Arabidopsis thaliana: one gene and its partners. The protein of the gene in region 1 purifies or fractionates together with the protein of each later gene. This does not show direct contact. Each region holds a gene or a part of one and is shown on either strand. Other genes may lie near its edges.

Evidence for each region.
Region 2: the proteins of CAK4 (region 1) and IMPA-2 purify together in Arabidopsis thaliana (affinity purification with mass spectrometry, with the first as the bait; 2 studies listed by BioGRID). This does not show direct contact.
Region 3: the proteins of CAK4 (region 1) and AT4G30820 purify together in Arabidopsis thaliana (affinity purification with mass spectrometry, with the first as the bait; 2 studies listed by BioGRID). This does not show direct contact.

Annotation. Positions count from the first base shown.
Region 1 is NC_003070.9:24,892,861-24,897,859, reverse strand, and holds CAK4 (CDK-activating kinase 4), read right to left. Parts: upstream 3,338-4,999; 5' UTR 3,086-3,337; coding exon 2,984-3,085; intron 2,898-2,983; coding exon 2,599-2,897; intron 2,524-2,598; coding exon 2,415-2,523; intron 1,533-2,414; coding exon 1,407-1,532; intron 1,332-1,406; coding exon 1,096-1,331; intron 1,020-1,095; coding exon 845-1,019; 3' UTR 601-844; downstream 1-600. Other genes in the region: SGA2 (ASF1 like histone chaperone), read right to left, coding at 4,312-4,677, 4,751-4,866.
Region 2 is NC_003075.7:9,133,223-9,139,337, forward strand, and holds IMPA-2 (importin alpha), read right to left. Parts: upstream 4,194-6,115; 5' UTR 3,913-4,193; coding exon 3,688-3,912; intron 3,600-3,687; coding exon 3,411-3,599; intron 3,326-3,410; coding exon 3,194-3,325; intron 3,079-3,193; coding exon 2,893-3,078; intron 2,811-2,892; coding exon 2,647-2,810; intron 2,560-2,646; coding exon 2,481-2,559; intron 2,124-2,480; coding exon 1,995-2,123; intron 1,840-1,994; coding exon 1,712-1,839; intron 1,604-1,711; coding exon 1,228-1,603; 3' UTR 1,226-1,227; exon of another isoform or gene 1,103-1,225; 3' UTR 528-1,102; downstream 1-527.
Region 3 is NC_003075.7:15,004,714-15,009,167, reverse strand, and holds AT4G30820 (cyclin-dependent kinase-activating kinase assembly factor-related / CDK-activating kinase assembly factor-like protein), read right to left. Parts: upstream 2,675-4,454; 5' UTR 2,611-2,674; exon of another isoform or gene 2,521-2,610; 5' UTR 2,466-2,520; exon of another isoform or gene 2,062-2,465; 5' UTR 2,025-2,061; coding exon of another isoform or gene 1,982-2,024; coding exon 1,957-1,981; exon of another isoform or gene 1,675-1,956; coding exon of another isoform or gene 1,652-1,674; exon of another isoform or gene 1,567-1,651; coding exon 1,310-1,566; intron 1,169-1,309; coding exon 1,103-1,168; intron 1,015-1,102; coding exon 790-1,014; 3' UTR 544-789; downstream 1-543. Other genes in the region: scpl29 (serine carboxypeptidase-like 29), read right to left, coding at 3,151-3,339, 3,426-3,531, 3,639-3,734, 3,834-3,967, 4,042-4,305, 4,396-4,454.

The DNA of each region.
Region 1 (4,999 bases):
TTTATGGTAACTACTTTGTAGAAAAGCATTACGAAACGCAATTCTAGAAATTAAAGTCATTACTGTATATACCTCTCCATTAGTGATTATAGTCAAGGAAAGGAAAAAAGGAAAGAGCTATATTAATGTATATGCCTGGAAGACTTGAAAATTAGATATCTATTATAGATAGTTTAATATTAGGTAAGTATGAAAGAGAAAAAAATTAAAATCATAAATTTCCTTTTTCATTTTGTTTAATTTACTAAATATGTCATTGTCTCAAAACACTATTTATTACCGGATATTTTAGACATGATACTGTTCATCAACTGCCTGAAGACACTATTCATCCGAAATTTACGACACTGTCGTATTTATCATTGGATTGCATAAAATATTTATGATTTATGTGGATAACTATTTGATTAACATGTTAACTAGTATAGTATCGTGCTAAATATATATAACTATTTGATTAATATGTTAACTAGTATAGTATCACGATAAATTTTTATATATCGTATTAAACCATTTACCATATCATACAAATTAATATGAAATAATCAATTTAACTTTATAATAACATGTTATACTGAATATAACGTGCTAACATATTAAATATCTGAATAATATTTATATTAATATGGTAAGATAGTTGATATATAGTGAAATTATAACAATAGTTGATACATGACATATTTGGTAAATTAAACAAAGTAAGAACTAAGAAGGACATTTATGGCTTTAAATTTTTTCTCTTTGATAGTTAACTAATATTGAATTATCAATGGTAAAAATCTAATTTTGAAATCTTCTGGGCATATCCATTGATATTTTCCAAAAGAAATGAAACATCATCTTCTCAAGTGAATCCTTCAGGACCCATCACTCTCCTCATTTTACCAGGAGGAGACAGTACCGCTGGGCTATTTCCATGTTGGTTTTGCTCGGAGGCCTTTGGTTCGAGTGCGTCTCCTTTGGAAGCTGGAATCTGAAGCTTCCCTGGCTCAGTTGGTGATGGAGAAGACGAGAAATACCTGATGAAAAAACCAATGATAATCAGAGTGATGAAACAGAATTTTTGTCCCGTGGGTTTCTTTTTCAAGAGTATACCTGTGGTCTAAAGCTTGTTGTATTGTGATCCTTTGACGTGGGTCGTAGATGAACATTTTTGCTAGAAGATCCAAAGCGTCATCACTTGCCATAGGGAAAATGGTACGTAATGGTGGAGCGGGTGTATAGGAGAATTCCATGTAGTCTGGGAGATAGATCATGTCAGACCATTGGGAAGGTACTGGAGTACCAAACGCTTGAAAGATCTTTCCAAGTTGATCAATCTCAGTAGAACCCTGAAGAAAGTATAGGAAATGTTTAGAGAACTACAGACTTTTTAAACATGAAGTACGAAGGGTATAGAGCATTACCGGAAGAAATGGTCTACGAAGTAGTAACTCAGCAAAAATACAGCCTGCAGCCCAAACATCAACTCCTGCTCCATACTGTCGACTCCCAAACAGTAACTCAGGCGCTCTGTACCATGTAGCAAATACCTGTGTGAATAAGTATAACCAATTTAAACTTAACGAATCTTCCACAAGCAGATACAAATAGCTAACCAAATGAGATATCTACACAAGTTACACAACCAATAAATCTCAGAATCTTTCTAAAGTAACAATGTTAATACATCCGTAAGTAACAAAACTGTATCTGGTGACTTTGAACCATCAATCTCTCATCTCACCAAAATCGAAAAACACAGGTATGCAAGAATCAAAATTAAAACCGTATGATGTCTTCTTAATACTCTGTATCAATTTTTCCATATCCAGCAAAAAGAGACTTCTACAGAACTAATCAATTGCAGAATCTTCTTGAGTCAAAATGTTAATATGACCGTAATCAACAAAATGCTATCCGGAAACTTAAACTTGTAATCACCAACCGAAACCAATAACATAGGTATGCAAGCATTCGAATTAAAAACATAGTATGTCTTCTCAATGCACTATATATACTCTTAGTTTGTCCCAGCAAAAAAAAACCAATAGATCATCAAGAACAAGACTAATCTACCTGTCAATTCAAACAAAAAATAGAAGAGATTTCTTCATAACTAATCAATCTCAGAATCTTCTAGGGTAAAAAAATGTCAATACAATCTTTCACCTCACCAAAACCAAACACACATAAAGTATGATATCTTCTCAATACTCTGTACCGACTCTTCATTTTGAGCATAAAATTCAAAATAGATCATCAAGAAGAAGTACCAAGATATTTACTACAAACTCCAGACTAATCTAGCTACCAATGCAACCATAAATATCAATAACTATATAAATACCTAACCAATAAATCCAATAAGATCATCAAGAACTACACTAACCTAGCTACCAAGCTCAAAACCGTATCAATCATAGCATCAATACCTGATGAGTAAACCTCCGATTCGGACTCCCAAACAACCTCGCCAAACCAAAATCAGCCAACTTCAACAAACCATTCTCTCCAATCAACAAATTATTCGGCTTCATATCCCTAACAACCACACCAAAAACAAACCATCAACACAATCAAAATCAAATCTTTATAAACCTAAGCATAACTTCTTACCTGTGAAGAACCCATTTCTTATGACAATAAGCTAAACCCTTCAAAGTCATCAACATATAAGACTTAATATCACCAGGAGATAAAAAGATATTACGATCACGAATCACTGCTTCTAAATCTGTTTGCATATACTCAAAAACTAGATGCAAACTTCCATCGTGAGGGAAAGCATCAATGAGTTCAACGATATGTGGATGATTCAGCTCTTTTAGTAGCTTGATTTCTCTTAAAGCTGTGAAATTTACTCCTTCCTTTTGGTTTCCTAATCTTATCTTCTTCACTGCTACAGTTTTCCCAGTCTAAGGAAATCACAAAATCGAAGATTGTTGAGTTTGAAAATCTTGATGAAATTGAAAACGAAATCGGGAAGGGTTTTTGATTTTACCTTTGTGTCGGTGGCTTTGTAAACGACACCGTATGTTCCTTCTCCGAGGATTTGACGGCGGAGGTATCTATCAACTGGTTGATTATCGCCGGATTTCGACATTGGGTTTAGATTCTCCGGTACACTTCGAGGAAGTACGAGGGCTCCTAGTGAAACACTTTTAAGAAATTGAATTCTTTGGTTTCAATTTTATACCCGTAAGATTTTGTGTTTTATGAAACGAACCTTATATTTATGAAATAATCAGAAACAGCCATATGATACTGTGGATAGCATAAATATGCTAACACTCGTGATTTGTTTGCAGGAAGTGATTCTACATGATCATCAGACCCTAGATAATTTAACCCTCCACCTCGAACTATTGATGATTAATCTTATCGAGTAGAAAATAATACACAATATAAATATCAAAGTAGCTATTTTTTACAAATTTACCATTTACCTAAAAAAAATATAAAATAATTTTACGAAATCCAAAATAATAGGTAATATAATTCTTATTCGTTATTGTCAAGTATAGGAATATATTATGTATTATTAGGTATTTAAAAACAACAATCTGTTTATTATAAAATATCGTATTTATTCAAAACATATAGGGCTTACTGGGCTTAGCCGAACACGGCTTTTATAATGTTATTGAGTTTAGTAATTAGATCTGTATTAATAAAAGTTTGAATAAAATATTTTTTAATATTTTAAAAGATATTTTCTTTTAACAAAACAAACATTTTTTTTTTTTCAAAGTAATCGAAATGGAGCCGTTTTTAACTATCTTTCGGTTTACCACAGAGTAAAATCGTTAGGCGAGAAATTGTAATGTGTACTACTTTTTTTTTTTTTTTTTTTTTGGTGAATAAATGCGGACTCATATTTTTGGCAGAACAACTGTGAAACGGTCCTAAAAAAATCACGGACTCATGTTTTTTTGGTGAAAGAATTATGGTTGATGATGATGATAATCATCATCATCAATGCTAACTATGACCATTTAACGGCACTTTTTTCAACAAATGATGAAGATCAAATGTCGCTTTGTACCTTGAGAAAATCTAGGGAAGTTATTCTACACCTATTACCAAATTCCAACCATCAGAACTCAGAATCTTGTTTGGCAACTGTTGGCTTTGCTTCGATTTAAAAAACCTTTGCCCAAAACATAAACATACAAAAATGTCAAGAATCACTTCCCTAAAGCCTCTAGAATTAAGTACAACAAACAGCATATAATGCTTTTGAAAGACAGAAAAGCAAAGCGCAACATCTGTGGAGACAATAGTTCTCAATTCTCATCCACTTTTCTTCAACTAGACTTGGTATAAGGATCATGATTCCTCAGGTTTTGGTTCTACTGACTGATCAGGTAAAACCTGAGCTTCACCATTGACATTAGGTTGTTGTTCATCAGATTGTTCAGGAGGAGCGGCAGTAGCAGCAGTCTGCTCTTCTTCTGGATGAAAATCTATAGGAAATTTAGTAACTCTAGGTTTGTCGGAAAGTATGTTCCTCTGAACTTTATCAATCAAAACCTTAGTTGGAGGCTCTTCCTTGAGTTGCTCATCCTCATAATCATTGTTCACGTAATATCCAACTCTCAAGAACTCTTGACCCATGTAAGAACATGTCAACAATAGCACAGTAACACCGATGATGTCTTCCTCCTGAATCTTTGATGGATCCGGAGGATCAGCCTGTAACAGTAGTAATAGAGAGTTAGACCAAGACTTTGTTGGTGCTTGGAAGAGGTAGTAGTGCATATGTTACCTGAAATACAAAGCGGTAGTTGCCAACATTAACAGGCCCTACAAGCACACTCTCTAGAAGTTGATCATAAGTCTCATCTTCTGCTGAGCCTACATAGATAAGCTTCCATTCCAAATCTGTACCACAAGCAAAAGCACGGGTCTATCTAAGTTATCCTCACCCTATAACAATGTTAACCAAGAACTTGTGCATAGATAAATCCAACTAATAGACAACAAGACTCTAGATTATCAATTAGAAAACAAACCA
Region 2 (6,115 bases), on another chromosome or scaffold:
TTTCTCTTTCTTAATTACTTTTTTACCCTCGAGCGCGGTGTTTTATTACTATAGAACCACCCGCCAAAAAATAAAACAACCACAAACTGAAAAAAGAAGAGGGAAAATCATTTTACAACAACAACTTGTAACAAAGATCTTGTGGAAGGGGGTTTTTTGGTATCTTGCTTGCTTTGGTACCAAATTTGAAATTTTAATTCAAAACCTGGCGCACGAAATACATTGGATTTACTCGTTGTGGTTGTTTGCCACGTTAGATTTCCCTAATTGGGCTTAGAGATATGCATGCATTTTTTACCAGTCTTTTAGATATTTTGTGTAATTCTTCACAATGAAATACGAAAAATTTATGTAATAATATTAGGTATATCGAAGACATGCTCGTGTAGTGCAACTTTTTTTGTATGAAAATTACAAAACATCTCTCTTTTTGGTCAATTTCATCTTATTTAAATTTGTGTAATCGACTTATGAATATTTGAGTTCTTTTGGGTCCAAGGCATACCTACGCTTATAAACGACAGGGATTGAACAAAACATAGGATTTTTTTATTATTGAAACCCTCCCTACTTGAAGTTGACGATAACCATTAATAACATCGATTAATGGAAATATGTTGAAACTAGATACGCGTGCATATGTAGACAATAGCCCAAAATGACTTGGACCGCACTAAAATAGATTATAAAAAAAAACATTTACTATAAACAATAAAGAGACGAACCAATTGGGCTTTTATGTCACCAATAAGACCAAATAAAGTTTGACCAACTTTTTTATGTTTGACTTTGCAGTGTTGTGTAGTACAAATGTAACAAAAACCCAGAGAGACACATTCTCATCAGATCACACTTTAAAAACTTATAAACCCTTTCCCAAAAATAAATATCCCTTGATGACTCCTACCCAACTCCCCCCCAACAAGCTTATTCCATGACTCAAACCCACCAACCACTGGATCTGACCGGACCAGGCCAGACTAAGTAAGGCACCCCATCTGACTTTTACACAGAAGACCAGACTCTCTAATCATACCCTTTTTAACCAGTGCCCCCAAACTCTTTAAGCTCCTTCGACTCTTCAAATCGTCATGTTCAGCTCCTGTGGAAGCAAAACCAGACTCACAGATTCACACAAGGTAGACACACAGGCAGATTTACTCTGTTTGCTAGTCTAGCCTTAGATGCTTAGATAAATTAGTCCCAAGTAGTGAGGTTTTTTTACCTTCACTGGAAGTTGAATCCACCTGGTGGTACGGCTGCATCATTACCTCCTCCAAACTGGAAGCCTTGTGCAGAGGGATCACCAGGTGGTAAAGTTTCATCTTCCTCTTCCAACCAGTACGTTTCAAGAATCTTCACTGCCTTCTCATAGATTTCGCTGTTGTCATGACTCTGCAGATTCTCAATCTTTTCTAATCCCTCAGCATCATCGATCAGCTGTGCATAAAAGTTTACATCCCCGGTATTTCCTGTGACCTTTTCAGCTTCCCCAACTTTCAAAATGTTCTCCAATCCTTCCAGACACACAGTGATAATCCTTGGATCAGGGCACACCAAAAGATCACACAGTGGTTTCACGACTCCCTGTTCCACCATGTACCTAAAACACACAACGGAATAACTTAATTGACTGTTTGAAAAATAACCAACAAAGATTCTAAAGGAGTTGAGATCAACAGAACATGGAGTTTATATCGGATAATCTTACTTGATTTGGTCAGGAGAACCACCTGAAGTGGCATTTGATATTGCCCACGCAGCTTCTTTCTTTATATCAAACTCCGCATTTTGAAGCAGATTGACAAGAGGGCAAATCAAACCAGCTTCACACACAGCCTGCAATACCACAACAATATTAGAGAACATAAACACACAGAACATCTTTCTTCAAACAACAAAAAGGCTTCTGAAACATGTCTTCCAACATTAGTGATTAGTTTATGAGAAACTGATAAGCTGAGCAGAAACAACAATCTTTAGCAAAAGTTCACCTGAATCTGGTCCCTGTTTCCAGCAGTGATATTTGAGATTGTCCAGCAAGCTTCCTTTTTGATGCTCTTCTTATGATTGTGAGTCAGAAGGCTCAAAAGGCTAAGAAGTGCACCATGACTAATTACACACTGTAGAACCAACCAAAAAAGAAAGCAAAATAAGTGAGGAATGGTACATGTGTGAGATTCTTAAGAGTATTATACATACTGCCTTAAATTAGTCTAACTATTCAAAAGGAATGTTAGGTATTGCATAACTAGGGTAAAAAACATGCAGGGGGGGAAATAAAATCTGGGAAGAATTGACAGTTCCCATTCTAGAGATTCATCTAGGAAGAATTTGACAAGTAACTTTTGACAACTAAATGTCATTATCAACAAACTCAGATTCAGCTTTCTAGCCAGTGTATTTCATTCTTCCCATCAGTATTGGACCATGTATCCTGAATAATATGAATGAATGACACTATAAAAGAACAAACATACCTGTGTCTGCAGATCATCTCCAGTGACAATGTTACCAATACTACGAAGGGCAGGAATAAGCACAGATGGTGATTGATGCCTACAGCAAAATAAAATTGATAATATTCATTAACACATAACATTCATTATACAAAAGCACGGTGAAATCATGGGATTTGAAACTCACTGGAGAAGCTCGACGAGTCGAGGAACAACACCTGCCTCAATGACAGATTGGATTTTGTCATTTGTGCCATCGGAAAGGTAAGAGAGAGCCCAACATGCATCCGTTAACACTTCCTCATCAGTCGAATGAATCAGGCGTTCAAGGGCTGGGAGTGCTGGACGGACCTGTTATTAAGAGATCACAAGAATTAAAAAGAAAAACTCCTTCATCTTTGGGCAGAGATTAAGATAGGAATGAGAGACAAACCTGGTCAAAGGGAGGCTGTGGCTTGCCCCTGCAGAAATTAGAGAGGGTCCAAGTAGCATTTCTCAGCATCGAGAGTTTAGCATGCTCATTCAACTGAGAGAGTAATGGTATCAAAGCTCCTTGACCAAGGACAAGATCTCTGCACCGTGGAGAATCACCAGCAACATTCCCTAATGCCCACACAGCCTTACACATGAAAAGATTAAGAAACAAACAAGCTTTAGAACATGCTTGTTCCCGAAAACAAACAAAATTGACAGTATATTGAGTCATGAGAAAAAACCATAAACACATATCTTACCTGCTCACGGACATCATCACTCTGAGAAGCCAATAGTTGAACAAAAATCGGAACAGCACCATGTTCAATGACCACCTTTGTATTCTCTGAAGTCCCAGAAGCAATGTTTGTCAATGCCCAAGCAGCCTCAAACTGAAATCACACACACACACACAAGTAATTAGTATCAGAAGACAATTCTAGCAAAATATGACAGATACATAACGATCCACCAAACCTGAAGCTGTGGATAATCCTCTCTAGTGAGAAATTCCACAAACCGAGGCACAACACCAGCATCAATCACTTCTTCAATCGGAGGACTACGCTCAATAGAAAGCAATTTCCGGAACTGAGTAGTCGCTTCAAGCTGTAAACTTCTATCATCTGACCAAACACCACCAACCATAGCAGGCAAACTCTCCAACTAGCCAAAACCAAAACCAAAATCAAAATCGAATCGATCTAAACCAATCAAATCCTAGGAAACGGTTCCAGATCGCTAGTAATATTACCTTCTTCTCAACAGTTGATGAAGCAGGAACAGGAGAAGGAGCGAATTGAGGTAGCTGATTAGCTTGAAGGCCTTCACGACGCTTCTTCTGTAAGCTTTCTTCACGCTTACTCTTACGGATCTCGACCATGTTGTCCTCTCTCCTCCGTCTTCCTTCCTCAGCATCCACCGCCACTTTGTAGCGGTTCCGGCGAACCTCAGTCTTAGCGTTAGGTCTCAAAGACATGGTGGCTAATACGAATCTCCTCTTGCTTCGTGGCGGTGAATGAAAAATGAGCCAACGAGAGTGGAGACGATGTATGTATATATATGAAAAGTGTATGTATAGAATCGGCGGATTGGTAGAGGATGATAAACCCTAAATGAAGTAGAGGGGAACGAGAAAAGAGGAAAAAAGGCACAGAGAGAAAGATTGAATTTCGTTGGTTTACAAAAACATTTTGGTAAATCTAAATTTTAAGATTCGATACAGAGACCATTAATTTACTTAAGTTGACTTGTTTATTCATTAGTCTTTTCGCACCGACTAAATTTAATTTAAAATAAAATACAGTTTTTTTTTTGGCAAAACTTGGTTTTGTGAAAGTAATTTTAAAAGTATATTATATTCGTTTAAGAAAGTTTAGAGTAGAGAACTTCGCATTTGAGTTTGACGTTGAGGAAGACGTATGAGCAATGCTCATATATTGGGGTAGATTCGTCTGTTGGAGCCATAACGATTGCAAGTACCTCTGGTAGCATTATCTAGGAGGTGAAAATCTGTTATTCTCTCTCCGTTCTTATCTGATGAAAGCTAATAACAGATTTTCACCTCAACTTTCATGGTATCAGGTCTTTCCCACAGACTATAATGAATTTTAATTTAAATGAAAAAATCGTCAGAAAAAAATACTTATGTTTTTTTAATCAAACATCTGGCTTTGTGAAATGGTGCATACGAATTTAAAAGTGTACTCGTTATAAATAAACACAATCATCATTACTTAAGACGGCTCAGCCAAGTTTGGAACTTTAAAGAGAAGGTTTTTTTAAGAAGTATACACATATATGTACGGCTGAGACATCTGATCTCTGAGGTCTTTTTAATGTCTCTTTAAAGTTAAGACTCCAGGAAAAATAATAACATGGTGATGGAGGTTGGCTTTTAGCGGAGATCGAGGACTTCATATTTGAGTTTGGCATTGAGGAAGACGTGTGAGCAATGCTCGTAGATTGGGTTACCGTCTTCTGATTCTTCGTGTGGGTGGAAGCCTCGTTGCTGGCAGTTTCGGATCACAGATACGCCTGATGGATCAGAGAGATGGAATATTCCATGAGGTGTTGATTCGTCTGTTGGTGCCATTACGATTGCCACCGCCTCCGGTAGCATTATCTGGGACAATAGATATAGATGATGGTTTTACTATAATCGCATCATAAGTGATTAACATAGAGATATTGATAAGGGGAGTTTGTTACCTGATACGAGTAGTGTGTGTGTAGATCAACTGATGACATGAAGCAAGTTTGTGTAGGGTGTGTCTGAAACCAAAATGTAAATTAGCAAGACGAATCGATAAAGCTTATCAACTAGTGGATATATGGATTCACAATTGTTCTGAGTAACGTTTTGGTAAGTCATTATCTGGAAATGGAAGATTTTTTAGTTCGGGTGAGAGAACTTACATGAATCCAACCCAAGGGAAATAGAGAGAGTCTGTCCTGTACTCGAATATTTCTTCTCGTTTAGTGTTTGGCACTGTACATTACCCAAATGATGATGAACCTAAGTGTGAGAAGCATACCAGCGAGAATTAAAAAGATTGTTATTGATGTAAATGGTTAAGAAAAATGAAGAACATACAGAATCTGAGGTAGACTCCTGCTTTGGGATTATGAGAGTAGTGATATGAAAAACCCTGTTTTTCTGTAAACATGGCAAATAGACAGAATATAAGTAATGGCGAGCTGATCATGATATTGGAATCAAAAATTATAAATGCAAAGGTTCCATCTACTCACCAGAGAACCAGCAAGTACTCCACAAGTTTCTAAATTCCGTTCTGTGTTTGACCGAGCTAGCCTTAGGAAATCATCCATTATGCGCACAGGCTTCAGCAAATTTAAATAAAGGGTGACAACATTAGTAGTAGATTAAGAAGAGGTGAAAGAGAAAGATTTCCAGAACCGATTCTAGCAAGCTTTTAAGAAGCTGTAATGGTCATGAATCCAATACTTCGATGATTTAATGTGTTGATTCTTGAACACATACCAAATAATTAGACTAATCATGGATAATTTTCTACTTGATATGCATATCCCTTCCACTTTACTCTCACAAACACTATGGAATTGGTGGAAACTGCACAAAAGTGAAAGAAGATACAGCTGGAACATACCACATGCAAATGCTGATAAGAATTGCTGCCCTCTTTTCCTTCTAGGGAAGG
Region 3 (4,454 bases), on another chromosome or scaffold:
AATGTACTCAATGTGAGTTTACAATGTGTTATAAATGTGCAACCATCCCATATCAGTTATGCTGGAAATATGATGAGCATCCTCTCTCTCTTTGCTATGAAGATAGCACTAGCACAGATGAAATCTACTGGTGCGAAATATGTGAAGAAAAAATAGATACGACAACATGGTTCTACACTTGCAACATATGTTGCACCACTATCCACCATCTATGCGTGTTTTGACTCCTCTGCTTACATAAAGTGTGGTTCCACATTCAGTTGCGATGACCTAAAAGGGGAAGTTGTTCGTAACAGTAGCCAGAGTCGATTAATTTGCAAATTATGTGGCCTGTGTTGCCGAGGTTACATATACCTCAAGTTTCCTAAGTTGAATTTTTGTTCTATGTCTTGTTTAGACGGTGCCGAATCATTTCTTGATATACTGATGGGTATGGAAACAGAGGAAAATGTTATGGCAACTGGGAACGGTGTAACTGCTAAAGATGAAACTATGTCTTTGATATGGACATCAAAATCCCTTTAAATTCAATAACTATGTCCATCCTCCTTATTTTTTGCTTCTGTTCTACCATCTGTTTCCGTCTCTCTACAATTGAACAAGTACATGTATTTTTTGCGATTTTTCTTTCGTAAATTTTGTTTTCCTTGATGCCCGTAATAGAGTCTTGTCAACTATACAAAACAAACCAGCCACAAGAGTAAAAGACAGTAAACTGAGACAACAATGGAAGCTATCAAGACCTCCTAGTCACTATCATAAGGGACAAAACTAATATCGCTTGAGAAATCAAACCCAAATGCTTGCAAATGCTTCTTCCAAAGCCCTCCTCTTGCTTATCTCTAAAGAAAATCCTCCAGCTCTCTCTGCTTTCATCCTCCTCGTCGCTTCGTCTTCCATAGCGTAATGTTGACGCTCTGCTCCACCTACTATAGGTACAGGTTGTGGGCCCATTCCCGTTGGTCGTGAAGCCTGACCATATGTAGTTCCAGCCGTGACCCCATGGTTCGACGACTACAAAATGCGTAAACAAGTAAAGAGATTTCAGCTTCGTCAGGAAACTTCATCTGCTTGTTGATATGAAAATTAAAACCCAATTTACCGTGTCAGCATCTGTCTGTGGGGGTTTGGCCTTGCAAGCTGCCAAGGCTGCAGTCAATTCTTCTGCCTGTTGGAGCAAATTGTAAATACACCAAAAGCAATTTGCACAGTGATATCATATAACCAAACATGCTTTTAATCTTCTTTCTTTTCCTCTACTCATTCATCTAACCAAGATAAGAAAAAGTAAGGCTAACGTAGGCCCTACCTTACGAGCTCTATTAATCATTATCTGTTCAGCATTCTCCTTAGAATATCTCTTAATCTTCTGCTCAATCGCCTCGACATTGATTCCATCTATCAAGTCGAATACTGGTGGAATAGAAGGTAATATATACATTGGTCTTGTCTTGCATGAATAGAGAAAATAAGGAGCACAAGTGAAACTAACCCATGCACTCCACTTCTTCCAAGTAGTCATTGTAGTCTTTAAGTGATGGAAACTCCTCTTCCCGTCTATTGTATCTGCATCACCAGAAAGAAAGAAAAAAAAACATGATACTCAAGAGGCTGAAAATACTCTGCTTCTACAGAATGAAAAAATTGATACCTTAATATAAATCTATATCTCATCTGTTAGAAACTGTGACTAAAGATCTCCATTTTATGCTAAGGTATGCTAGGAAACAATGGAGCATCTCACTGGGTCCATAGATGGGAGAATTGCTTCATTAAGTGTATGCAGTGAACAAAGTATTTTCTATAAAAATGATCAGATGTGAAATTTAGCGCTATACATGCTAAGAGTCTATACTGATCAATACGCAGTAGATTGATCAAGGGGTTTAAATATCACACCATTTGCACAGGCAAGCATGATATGCAACGAGAGAAAAAGATCAGAACGAAGAATACATCTCAGAGATTCTCCTTCTGACATGTATTTCCTTATTTTGATGGGTAGAATTAGACACCATCACCATGGTTGCTTCTGCCTGGGATTCTTGTCCTTTCCTCTACCTACAAGGTTTTAGACGTGATTTCGCAAATAAAGCTGCAGCAAATATTACACAAGTCTTATTTTTACTTTCGGCTATAGAATCTTTAGAGCTGAAAACCATTATCCCAATAGGGAAAAACACATGAACGAGAAGAAACCTACGAAGAAAACAATTCCAGATAGCGAAGAAGATAAATCTGCGGATTTTCCAAGGATTTCTGAGGAACTAAGGAAGCAAGCATAAAGCACAATGTTTATGTAGACTCATGTGTAGGATATGAATTCGACACTGAAGTACAATGTTAAGCAAGCGAGAACAGAAAGTCGCCTAAAACACGATCTGAGGAAAATAGCTAATAGCTATATGCCAATTCTTCTATTCAATAGAATGCTAAAGACCGGAGAGAAGAAAAGTGAGACTCACAGGTAGAAATAAGAAGGTGAAGAGGGACGCGCGAGAGAAGACACTGAGCCCAAACCTGAAACACCCAACCGTCCGAATCCTCATTCAAAACGTCGTAGATCTCATCTTAACCCAAACAAATAAAGGTTAAAAATGAAACCTTTACCTCAGAAATTGCAGATTCCGACCAATTGAAGTTCAATGTTCAACTCAAGACAATTCACTTCCAGAAAAAAAAAAAAAAAAACAGGTTTCTTCAATTTGAACAGACAAAGGAAGAAGAAACCCCTAATTCTTTAAAATATGGGCTTAGGTCTCATGGGCCAAGTCAAGCCCAATGCTTCTGTATAATTTCGTTTAGACCCCCAATACTAGTCTAAATTCTATTTTCTACCCCAGTATTATATCCGTTACCAGATTAATACCCAGTCCTATACATCACAGATCAGACTTCACTTTCTCATTACACAAGAATATGTTGTTGTTATTCAAGGATCGTATGGCTGACAAATGGTAGAAACTTCTTTTATTAGATTCCAAGCAGCAAATGTTTATCCAAACAAACAAACAACCAGAAGAAGAAGAAGCATTGAACGTATCACTTAAAACACTGATTTATTCTCTTTCCCTCTTCTTATTTCAACGGCCTATGTGGAAAGTTTTTGATTGAGAATCCAAATCACACATTACATCAAATCAGAACTCATTATGAGTCACTAACGAGTTCAGACATGTCGCGGCTGATGCTGTTCTCATGTGTGGACAATGGAGTTCCAGATATAAAAGCCTTGAAGAGCGCAAGAGCTTGCTTCGGTCTGTGCAAAGGAACTTCATGGCCTGCACCTCTCACTGTCACAAAGTTCAGACCAGCATACTGCTGACTCCACCCTCCCACCTGTTTCAAATCATGACTGTTTATAAGTTTTTCTTATAACATAAGAAAAGGATTCTCATTTTCTCATCTTGAGTTTTGTTTTGTACCTGTCCATCTAAGTACCAAGGACCATAGGCACTCAAAGGACGAAGGTTTAGTGCATCGATACTGTACCGGGTTGATGTGACTGGTACAACGGCATCTGCGTCCCCACTGTTACCAAAGAACAAAACCTTTTCTTTTTACCACCAAAACGCCAAAACACTTGAAGAAAAGATATCGTTAAAGTGCTTTCAGTGGATATATTTAGAGAAAGAGACCTGAAAACCCAGATACGAAGCCCAGCAGCTATAAGCTCGTGGTAAATGTTTAGAACCGAGGAAGGAGAGTCATTCCAGTGTTCACTCACGACATCACTGCATAACCAAAGCTGTCGGGATCAGAATTGTTACAATACTTAAATAGGCTCATTTCCTCCAAAACCAAGTTTCTAAGATATTGCAAGGCAATTTTACCTGCAAGTATCCCATTTTGATGGTGCAAGTCCTGGTGGGACATGGAGGGCTTTTTGAACCTCTGGAAGATTGAAATAAACTGTAGTGTGTTTCTCCGTACAAGGATCATACTGTTCGCTCACGCGGCTAGTCATCTAAGTAAAATAAACAGAGAAATTAGGACACTAAAGAGTGTAACATTGAAAAGAGAAGTTTTAAGGCCACTTACAGGTCTTTTCTTTAGCAACATATTTGACTGGGAAGCATTGGCAACACAAGCTGGGGTGAAGACACTGTATTGGTCTATGTTACCTATTTCTTTGTCCGCTATCTCCAGAATCTTGTTACACTGTTTGGAGGAGTGAATAAACGATTCGAAACCGCATTGAAGTTGCAGTAAGCTGTATGTTTGGTCAGATATAAAACCCAACGACCAAATATATTGGAAAAGACCAAGCCTGTCATGGAAATCGTCCATCAGCCCATTTCCTACCTGCATCCACACATTCATCAACATTGTTTTAGAGTTTTATAACCTTTTAGAAAATGAATCATAGGGGGATCAATAAGAGGACAGGCTCACCATGTAACCCTTCAGATTTATACTGTTTTTGTCAGAACCTTGGTTATGTTTTACAATGG